Canis lupus familiaris: one gene and its partners. The protein of the gene in region 1 interacts with the protein of each later gene in a pairwise test. Links are inferred from orthologs where the notes say so. Each region holds a gene or a part of one and is shown on either strand. Other genes may lie near its edges. The genes, in order: FEZ1, PDCD7 and PAM16.

Region 1 (3,648 bases):
AGCTCGGTCAGCTCCGACCCCGACAGGTGCCTCAGGCCTGCGGGGGCAGACGGCCCGCGGGTGACGGCTGCGTCCCAGCCACGGCCCACGCCCACCCAGCGGCTCCCGGGCGCTGCCCAGGGCTCCCTGCACCCCAGCTCCTTACGGGGCGGGAATTCAGGGCCGTGCCGGGAAGGAAGGGGCCCGTGTGCCAGCAGCAAAGTGAACACTGCTCTTGGGGAAACAAAGAGGGAAAAGGAAACAGCCCCCAGGGGGGCCCGTGGACCCTGTTCACAAAACTGTGCATAGACAGACGTGTGGCTTTGTGATCCCGGAGTCCTCCTCCTATTTTTCCCCTGTTCCTATGAGATCCCTAGTGCGAAGCAGGTGAAGGATCAGGGGGAGAAAACATTAAGAGGAGGTTTCTGGCATGTGTGCTGAGAGCAGTAGAAAGGTGGTGTGTGTCCCAAGAACAGAGCAAGATACACCCGGCCAGCAAAACAAGCACAGGGATCCAAGGCCCTCTGCACCCCTGTGGCCCTGGGTGGCGGGTGCAGATATTAGGGAATATAGGAAACATGTGGCCGGCTGGCTACAAATATTAAAAAATGCAAAAAAAAAAAAAAAAAAAAAAAAAAAAAAAAAAAAAAACAAATATTAAAAAATGCACCCCAGGGCAGCCCCGGTGGGTCAGTGGTTGAGCGCCACCTTCAGCCCAGGGCCTGATCCTGGAGAACGGGGATCAAGTACCTCGTCGGGCTCCCTGCATGGAGCCTGCTTCATCCTGCACCATTATCCCTCCAGACTGATGGCTTTTGTACTCAATTTTGCCCTCACTGTGTCACATCTTTTCCTATGTCTCTGCTTGTGTCTCTGCCTCTCTCTCTCTCTCTTTCTCTCTCATGAATAAATAAATAAAAATCTTTTTTTAAAAAATGCAATAAATAAATAAATAAATGCACCCTGGAGGAACCCCTGGATGGCTCAGTGGTTGAGCGTCTGCTTTGGCTCAGGTTGTGATCCTGGGACTGAGTCCCATATCGGGTTCCCTGCAGGGAGCCTGCTCCACCCTCTGCCTATGTCTCTGTATCTCTCATGAATAAATAAATAAAATCTTAAAAAAAAATGCACCATGGCTAGTTGGTACAGAGTCTGCCATTAGAGAAAAGGAAAGGGAACCTGAGATGCTGCAATACAGAGGACTGTATCTTAAGTTTTTGTCCCTTAAGATTTCTTCACTGAAAATAGATCAGGGTGGGGGGAGTGTGTCCTGTTGGCTCTGTTTGTAGAGCATGCAACTCTCGGTCCCAAGATTCGGAGTTCAAGCCCCAGGCTGGGCAGAGAGCCTACTTACAAAAAAAAAAAAAAAAAAATTGACTGGAATGGGGGTTTGGGTGGAACATCTTTTCAAATTGGTCCCTAACATCTTTTGTTTTTGCCCCAGAATCCGTTTTGCTTTTCTGTTCTGTTTCTGCTGTGGCCTGTGGATGTGCTGACTCGGTTCGACCTCCTCCTTTATTCTGCTCTTTGGAGCTGTCCTCCTCCTTCTGCGTTTGCCATTTCACTGTACACTTCAGCTGTTTTCCGGAGTCTTCCGCCGAGCGCAGCTATGTTTGGGGCCTTTGTGTGGCTGAGAACGGCCTGAATGCAGCTCCGCAGCCAAATCTGCCCCATCATTCCGAGCACATTCCTTCTGCTTTTGCCCTCGCCCAGCCTCTACTCCCTTAGGGCCACAGGGTCTCATTTTCAGGACACATTTCCTCAGATCAGGCCTCGATTTTTACCACCACTCTATCTGGACCTTGACACCTACCCAGCCCTCCTTCCCTTGGCGGCGAGCGCGGGCCCCTCCTGCAGCATGGGCACCATTATCCCTCCAGACTGATGGCTTTTGTACTCAATTTTGCCTTTACCGTGTCACATCTTTTCATTTCACGCCTCATCCACCTCTTTCTTTGCGTGATCATAATTACCATGAACCTGTGTCAGAGAGCTAACACGACACAGATCAGGAGTGTGGGATTCTGGAGTGAACCTGCCCCGCTTCACATGTGGGCTCCACCCCTCACCACCTGGATGTGGTGTCAGGGCAGATACAAAAAAAAATAGGAGGCTTGGCTCTCCCTGCTGAAAATAAGGACAGCAAGTTTCTCTCCCCTTCACCTGCCTGTTCTTTGTGAACACCCTCCTCTGTCCTTTGCAGATGGACGCCAATCATTTTAATGGCAAAATAAGCCTCTTGTCAGCCTCGGGACTCAGGAATGTTTCCTCAAGCACCCGGGAGTCACAGCTTGGAAAAGTAATCATCGAGGAAGATGACAGGCCCCTAACTAGTCCCCCTTCTCCAGATTGCTAAACCGATTTAATGAAATGGGTTGTATCCACTTAGCTGCAGACGAGAGTAGGATTTCTTTCTGGCTTTGCAATCCCTTTAGCGACTTGCCTGTGATGGGCGCTCGGTTCTGGCTTAATGCTTATTCAATAGTAAAATTGTTCTCTTTCTCTTCTCCTTCTGTGGAGAGGTTTTCTGGGTGGGGAGGAGATTTTGTTTTTTGTTTGTTTGTTTTATTTTTTTAAGATTTTATTTATTTATTCATGAAAGACACAGAGAGAGAGAGAGAGAGAGAGAGAGACACAGGCAGAGGGAGAAGTAGGCTCCATGCAGGAAGCCCAACCCAGGACTCTATCCCGGGTCCCTGGGATCATGCCCTGGGCTGAAGGCAGTGCTAAACTGCTAAGCCACTCAGGCTGCCCTAGATTTTGTTTTTAATTATATTTCCCCTAATAGTGGCATCGAACAAGTCACTTAGCCTCTCAGCATACTCAATTACCCCAATCCTAATGGAGTTGGTGTGGGGATGAAATGAGATTATGCACAGAAATTCTTTGAACAGGGTCTGGCACGTAGCAGGCATTCCAAAAATATCAGCTCTCGTGATTATTACCTTTTTTGTTGATTTTATGGTAGTATCATTTTGGACAGCGGGTTTCCGATTTCTTCTACTTAATCTGCTTTAGTCTTGTTCTTTGGTTAGTTTTACCATTTTGATTTTGCTCGATTGCCTTTCCCCCATCCCACCCCCCAAAATTGCTAACTTCTGTCCTGACACCCAGTTGGAAAGGCATTGCCAACTCCCTGGATTTGAGGTCCTATTAGCTACATGGGAAGCCTGTGCCCACGGCCTGGCCTGCAGGCAGCAGTGTTCATCGTTGGCACACCCACCTGCCAGGCCCCTCACCTTCGTAGGACCAGTTGTTGTTGAAGGTCTGGGTCAAGGCCTGCATCTCCTGCAGGAGGACCGAGTCTGCCTGGGAGGAGGTTTCTCCCTCATCCTCCTCTTCTAGAACCTCCTCTTCTTCCTCAGGGTCTGGGGAGTTCTGCATCATTTCTTCAATCTCCTCAATCACCTGAAGAAGGTACGCAAGAGAATGCTAACTCTGTTCTCTGCTGGAGGAACATTCCAGCTCGAATTTTGATCAGTTAAGGGTGTTTCTACATTGCTGCCTGTAAAATTCCTAAAGCAATATTGTTATTTAATACATATTGAACAATAATAAAAATAGATCTGACCAAAGGCTTCCATACACTCTTTCGTTAATGTAAGGTACTCTTTCATGTGCAATCTCTTCCAAGAACACCATTTAGACGAGTGCTTTATAGAAAATAAA
Region 2 (3,648 bases), on another chromosome or scaffold:
CAACCCCGATTTTGCTCATTTGTGTGACTACCCATCCTTGTCTCCTTCATTTTCATTCCAGTGGAAGATGGATCCTTCTACACTTAAGTTAATCCCTCCACCTACAATCAGTCTCTCTACCTCCTGCAGGACCTTGAGCCATCAACTATCCTTCCTGCTTCTCTATGATACTCTCCCTATACTCATTCCTTTGCTTAGCAATGAAACATGTTTAAATTTTTCCCATGACCCTAAGATTACCACTTTGCCCTTCCGCATTGCCAGATACTGATCAGTTCTCTCCTGTCTTCACAGGCAAACTTCTCATAAATTGAACTCACTGTTTGGTTTTCTTATCTCCTATTCCCTCTTTATTGTAGTCTAGTCTGGCTTCTACTCATACCATTCTGCTGTGAATTGCACCTAGCATAGCTCACTGATGATCTATTGGGTACTAATTCCCACAGATATTTCTCAATTTTTAGGTACTATCATTATTCCTGTCTTACAGATGAGGAAACTAAGGCAAAGAGACATTTAGGTAACCTCCCCAAGCAAGATTACACAATCTCTCTGAGCATTTGGGACTTTCCAGAAGGAGGTAGGGGACCTACTTTCTCCTTCTATCTCTCTGACCTCTCTTGTGGCCACCCCTTTATGCATCTGGATTTTGACATTCCCTAGGATTTTGTCATTTTGGCCCTCAACTCACACTATACAACCTCCTTAAAGTCATGTCTATTTATGGCTACATGCCGATGACCTCTTATCCAAGACGTACCACAGGCACCTCAAACTCAACACAACCCAAACTGAACTCGTCAACCCCAAGTCTGTTCCCCAAGTTATTTACTTACACATTCCCCCTCTCCTTTATTTGTATTTCTTAAGTTCATTTACTTTTCTCCAAGTCACCACCTGACCCTTAGTTCACACTCCTATATTATCCGTGCCCAGACTACTGAATAGCCTTCTCAGTGTCTCTCCTTTTCTCCCTCCCTCCTAGAGCTCCCTCCTTTCTCTCCTGGACCAGCACTGATTACTGCTGCCATTTCACTTTTTGCTTAAAATCTTTCAATGGTTCTGCTCATTTTTAAGCATAGGTAAGAAGTCTAGTCTGGCCCCTAAGGTACTGCAATGTGGCCCTGCTTACATATCTGGCCTCATTCTCTCAGCCCTTAGCTGAAGGTGTACACACCTTGAGAGAAAAGTTTTAAATATATGATGCAACTAGCTGCTAGTTACCAAATCATTTTATATTCAAGACCATTAACTCCAAAGAGGCTGCTTATTTTTATAGATCACAATTCCTCCGAAATTTCCTCCTCCTTTTGGACCAAAATAAAGAAGACAAATAGTGAGAAATTATGCTACGAAATTCACTTGGCAAAAGTTTACTAAATACTCTCCTCACAGAGGACATGGAGTAGAAGAATATTAAATAACAGCCCTCAGGTTTTCATTCCCCAAGGAAGAGATAAGGGTAGACCTAGTAGATGCAAACTCCCCTTTGACTCATGAATGCACTATGGGGTCATATTCTTCTGAAGCCTCAATTTGAACTAGCTATTCTGAAGCCTGGCATGCAGAAGCTAATCACTTAGCTAGTGAGTGAGCTGGGTTGAATACACAATGGTCATATCCCAATGGAACTTTATTAAGGGTCTGATTCACAGGTTTCATTTATATTTTAAACCACACAGGGGAAGTCATTTGCTATCACAGTACTTGCTAATTTGTGTAGTCTCAAATATCCCTGGTTGGTATCAATGACCTATAGTCTACTAAATAAGGCAGCTTGTAGTCCAAACCGGTGCAAGTAAGAAGGAGGTCACCTCAATCCAGATCAGGGAAGGATGTAGGATGGAGGATGTTGCATCTGTATTTAGTTTTGAAGGATAGTGAGAGCTTAAAACGGAAAAGATGGAACTGAGGGCCCTCCACACAAAAAGACTTGCAAGAGCAAAGATCAAGACAGGCAAATGTTGAAAGCACAACTAGGGAGCTTCTCCAAAACTAGTGCTCCCCCTAGAGGCAAGAGGAGAGGACTCAGGTTTTCTGATCCCAAAGTACAGAAGTGGACACCCATGCAGTTTGCAAGGCACTCCCTGCCCTGTCCAACCACTCACACCTTTTTAAATATCAATGTTTCAGGTTTGAAACATATCAGAAGGGCATGCCAAGTTTTCAACATCTTCTGAAGCACCTAGTAAAGAAAGGATAGCCTTTGCCTTTGTACATGGGCAAAAGTGACGAGCCACGCCAAACTCACTCACAAAAGCGTGGCCAGAACACTTGCTGTGGGAATGATGAGTCAAGGGAAAGGCAGTATAGTGGGTTCCCACACCTGCCTCTCTTTTCAACCTTGTCAAAAAGGAGTAAACAAAGTCAGGCTTCTGCTTCAAAAGTTCTGAGGTGGTGCTGACAAGCTGTTATTCTACTGGGTAAAAATTAAATATAATCAAACTTTTTTTTCTTCAAAAATTTTGAGGGAGGGTGGACACTAGGGTAAAGCAAGGGAAGGAACAAGGCAATAGAGGAATAAATACAAGTAGAAATGCAAAGCCATGGTTACCTTTCCTTGCTGCTGCCTCTTTCCTGAGTTTCCTCAATTTCTCCAAGGCCCGAAGAATGTCCACCATTCTTTTGGTATCTGCCTGCTTTTTCCTCACTTCAGATAAGACACCATCAGCTGCAGCTTTCAGTTCCTGTTCCTGGAAAAGACCGGGTCCATGAGACAGACCTAGTATTAGGAATACTTTTTTTTTTTTTTTTTTTTTTTTTAAGATTTTATTGATTCGAGAGAGAGAGAGAGAGAGAGAGAGAGAGAGAGGCAGAGACACTAGCAGAGGGAGAAGCAGGCTCCATGCAGGGAGCCTGACGTGGGACTCTATCCCGGGTCTCTAGGATCATGTCCTGGGCTGAAGGCGGCGCTAAACTGCTGAGCCACCCGGGCTGCCCTAGGAACAGTCTTAAAGCAGAGAACAGCTGCCCAGCAGTGAGATTTCAGAAGATCAGACTGTCCTGGGGTTGAGTTTCTACTGGATCTCCATTCCAAGTTCCTGGGCTGTACACAACTCCTCTCCCACACTGGTCCAGCCAGGGAGTATCTTCTCTGAAGTTTCCACATGGATGCTGACCTTTGTTCCTTCCTTGGAGTTTCTTCAAGCATAGTCCAATGAACATCTGCATCTAACTTTAAGTTGGGGCTCTCTTATTAAAAATGTAGACTCCTAGACCCAAAGATTGAGACGAGGAGAGAATACAAGAAATGGGGTTGGAAGGGCCCAGAACTCTACGAAATTTGTCAGTGACACCCAACGCACATAGCTCGGACTCCAGTGTTGTTAGGTGCCTAGATCTTTTGCCATGACAGCCTTTCAAACACTAAGATCCTATCCTGAATGTTCTTCTTAAGTTGGTTCACATGTAGACAAAATGACTCTGGTTCCTTAAACCACCACTCACAGGATCTGGTCTCCAATCCCCTTACTGTGGGTGGTAAGGAAGATCCTTTTACCTAAAGCTCTCTTTCCATCTATCCAATAAGTGCCTATAATCCCACCATTAAGACCACACCATACTCCTTCCTTCTTCTGCCCAGAACTGCACCTGTTGCTTTCACTTGGCTTTGACATGTCCTTCAAGACAGTTCAGATGTCATTATAT
Region 3 (3,748 bases), on another chromosome or scaffold:
CACCTTCTGGGGGAAAGAACAGATTATAAGCAGCGCACATAAAATAAATGAATTCTATAATATGGCAGAAGGCGATGAGTAAGAACTTTGGGGGTAAAAATAGAGGGGACTGAGAGCCAGACACAGAAGCCACAGACAGGATGATTCCACTTCCAAGAGCTGTTCACAGGGGACAAACCATAGACGGGCCCAAGCTTAGTGGTCAGGGCCTGGGGGGGCGGTGGCCAGTGCTGATGCGAAGGGAGTTTGGGGGGTGGTGATGAAAATGTTCTGGTGTTCTGGTGGTGATGGTTGCACAACTCTGTGGATACACTAAGAAGCGCTGACTGAATTATGCACTTTAGTGAACCGGATGGTGTGTGAACTTTATCCCAAAGGGTTACTAAAGCACAAAAGAATGCGGGGCAAGTTGCAGCATTGGTAGCAGGTTGGGGTAGGCCTCCTTGGGAAGGTGACATCGAGCAAGCACTTGAAGGGGGAGAGAGAGAGATCTCTTTCCCAGATAGAAGGAAACTAGAAGGAAGCCCGTTTTGAGGTTTCCTGTTTTCTTTTTTTTTAATTTTTATTTATTTATGATAGTCACACAGAGAGAGAGAGAGAGAGGCAGAGACACAGGCAGAGGGAGAAGCAGGCTCCATGCACCGGGAGCCCGACGTGGGATTCGATCCCGGGTCTCCAGGATCGCGCCCTGGGCCAAAGGCAGGTGCCAAACCGCTGCGCCACCCAGGGATCCCAGGTTTCCTGTTTTCTTACATATTTGTGAGCCTTTGGCATCCTCCTCTTCGTGGGGTGTTGTATGTTTACTTCATGTCCTTTAGTACCAAATATCTTGGCAAAATCCAGGGAAGAGGTTGCTTGCCCCTCATTTGACAGATGTGTCTATCCTGGGGCACGTCGCGCAGCAGGGCGAACGCGAGGGCCACCGCGGGTCCTAGGACCGCCCATCACCTGAGCGCGGCTCCGCCTACCGCCGTGACGTCACGGGTCCCGTCCCGCCCCCCGGAGGGAGCAACGCGCATGCCCAGCGCGGCGTCACGCACGCGCTCTCTCTCCCTTGACCTCTGACCTGCCGGCCGCCTTTGAGCTGGGGCCGCGGGGCCAGGAAGCCGGAGCCCGCAACCCTGAGGCGGAGCGGCCAGCATGGTGAGGCACGAGCGGGCGCTGCCGGGCGGTGAGGGAGGCCGGGCTGGGGCCGGGGCCGGGGCCGGGGCCGGGGAGCGTCGCACCGGGAGGACCGCGGCGGGGGCCGGCGGCCCGGGGCCACGGAGGCCTCTCGCCCAGAAGGCGGCGCGGGCCTGGCTGGCCGGAAAATGCCCAGCACAGGCGGCCGCCGCGTGCCCCCTGCCGCGCCGGAGGTCGGGTCCAGCCCGGGAGCCCTGCGCGGCCGCGCGGCCCGTTGGCGGTGTCGCCCTTTGGAAACGGACGAAACGGGCGCCGAGACTTTGCCAAGGAAGTGGCTGGCCTGGGACTCGAGCGGGCCCCGCGACCCCGAAAGCTGAGCGTCTCCGCGTTTCCTGTGGCACCCGCAGCCAGTCCGCAGACCCGGGCCACGCTGGCGGAGACGAGTCCCCTGGGGACCCTTTAAACACGCAGCATCCTGAGCTCTGTCCTCGGAGGCAGCCGGTTTGGGGAGCCCCTTATTAACCAATAAGAAGGATAACACAAGAGCTTGCAAGGCCCCCAGGCCCTTGCACTGGAAGCCTCACGTGGATTCTCTCATTTAATGCTTGTGAAATGCATAGGGCCATGGTCCCCATTTCACAGAGTAGGAGCCTGAATCTCAGAGTTGGATTCCTCCAGGGTCGTTTCATCCAGCCGTGCCAGAGGCAGGTGTTGAGCCGGGTCATGCCCAACCCTTGGACCGCGGCCTGCTCACGCATTCCTGCCTGTAACTCTGAGCCCCCCTCAAGAGCCACGTAAAATGTTGCTCTGGACCAGTCTGTATCCTAAAGGAGGAATCAGGCAAGTCTGTAAAATAGGACAGAACAGATAGTGCTCTGGGAAGGTTTGGCTTAGAGGGAATATGGGAGTATTGTGTTGTCTTTTTTTTTTTTTTTAAGATTTTATTTATTCATGAGCGACGCAAAGAGAGGCAGACACACAGGCAGCGGGAGAAGCAGGCTCCATGCAGGGAGCCCAATGTGGAACTCGATCTCAGGACCCTGGGGTCACGCCCTGGGCCAAAGGCAGCCACCCAGGCATCCCTCCTGTTAAGTCTTGAAGGATGTTGGGTTTTGATGGAGTATCAGAGTAGTAGGGACGATGTAGTCAAGGTTAATGGGTATTGGGGGTTTTTTTTGGGGGGGTGATGAAAATGTTCCAGGACTAGTAATATTCTGTACTTTTTAGTGTGTTTACAGAGGTATGTGAATACCCTAAAATCACTGAATACTTGAGTGACTTGTATGGTGTGTGTGTGTTGGGAGACATGGGGGTAAAAGAAGTAAGAGCTGATCTAGAAGTAGATGGTGTGGCTGCAGGGCCGAGAGGTGAGGGGAGAGAAAACCAGAGCCGTTGTAGCTGTCCAAGGTGAGATTGCCCAGCTGAGAAGTGGGCTGAATTTGCAGGCCCTGGCCGCGGAGTTGTGTGTATTGGAGGATGGCCTGAGTCCTCCAGCAGAGGGAGCGGTAGGCATTTGGAAACCCTGTCTGGGGACATAGTTTTGCTGATGATGGCCTGGTTAAGTGTCACATTCATTCAAATACGATCGATTGGGCTGCCATGCCAGCCATAGGCGGGGGCGCCAGGTTTACTGTGGTCCTGACTGCCCTCCCGCCTAGTCGTGATGCCAGCAGCTGTTTGCAGGGGCTTTGGGGTGAACATCCTCAAGAAGGGGGTGAGTCTCAGTGGCAGTGTCTGCCCAGCAGCCCAGGGGCTGAGAACTAAGCTTTGAAGGGAACATTGCACATCTGAGCTGTCTGAAAACCAGGTTCCCTTCGTAATGCACCTCACCTGAGATGCGCCACATTCCTCCGTGTCCCCCAACGCTTGCCTGTGGTCTTCTGTCCCAGCTGCAGAGGTGTGGTTCTGCATTGGGCTATGTCGTTCCTCAGATGAGAAAGCAGATGTGTCATCCACAGTGGCTCCCAGGCTCGGCGACCTGTGTCTCTGACCTCTGCTCCTCGACTGGCAGCTTGCCCTGAGTTGGATGCCATGTCAGCTGACTGTTCTTGTCCAGGGTCTTCAGGCCCAAGTGTCAGTCAGTGGACTATGGGATGTTTGGGGACTTTCTAGGAGAGACCTCAGCCAGTGGCTGCCATCATCTCCTCTTGTAACTGGCAGAACAATGATCTGGCTGACCCACAGCTGGCACTGGGTACTGAATAGATGGATGAGAAGCTTGGCCATACTGCCTGATGTCTGGACCGTCCAGCACCAAGCAGGGTCTAGTCCAGAAGCAAAGGCAGCTGTTGGGCTGCTTTGAACCTGCCACTGACTGGTTGGGTTTATGTGGATTGCCTTCTGAGGACCTTGCAGCCTTCCTGTAAGGAAGGTATGATTCTCTCCGTTTTGCAGATAAGAAAACAGGTTCAGAGAGGTTGAGTAATTTATGCAGGGCCACACAGCTAGCGAAGACAAGCTGGGAGTCCAGGTTTAAGCTCCAAAGCAGTCCTCTCCCTCCTCTTCCACACTGCTTCTCAGTGCTCTTGGCACGGAGCCTGGCTTTTTGCAGCCTTCTCCCCTGAGGAATCAGTGGCTATATCAAATGAGTTGCCTTATTGGGAAAGGCTTTGCTACTCCATAGTAT

The links.
Region 2: the proteins of FEZ1 (region 1) and PDCD7 interact in a two-hybrid assay, tested with the Homo sapiens proteins (2 studies listed by BioGRID and IntAct). The link is inferred for Canis lupus familiaris from reciprocal best matches to the Homo sapiens genes FEZ1 and PDCD7.
Region 3: the proteins of FEZ1 (region 1) and PAM16 interact in a two-hybrid assay, tested with the Homo sapiens proteins (2 studies listed by BioGRID and IntAct). The link is inferred for Canis lupus familiaris from reciprocal best matches to the Homo sapiens genes FEZ1 and PAM16.

What each region holds. Positions count from the first base shown.
Region 1 is NC_049226.1:9,050,409-9,054,056, reverse strand, and holds part of FEZ1 (fasciculation and elongation protein zeta-1), read right to left. Parts: intron 3,388-3,648; coding exon 3,219-3,387; intron 38-3,218; coding exon 1-37. UniProt on the Homo sapiens protein: May be involved in axonal outgrowth as component of the network of molecules that regulate cellular morphology and axon guidance machinery.
Region 2 is NC_049251.1:29,928,821-29,932,468, forward strand, and holds part of PDCD7 (programmed cell death protein 7), read right to left. Parts: intron 2,694-3,648; coding exon 2,555-2,693; intron 1-2,554. UniProt on the Homo sapiens protein: Promotes apoptosis when overexpressed.
Region 3 is NC_049227.1:37,332,520-37,336,267, forward strand, and holds the start of PAM16 (mitochondrial import inner membrane translocase subunit TIM16), read left to right. Parts: upstream 1-986; 5' UTR 987-1,140; coding exon 1,141-1,143; intron 1,144-1,535; exon of another isoform or gene 1,536-1,962; intron 1,963-3,748. UniProt on the Homo sapiens protein: Regulates ATP-dependent protein translocation into the mitochondrial matrix. Inhibits DNAJC19 stimulation of HSPA9/Mortalin ATPase activity.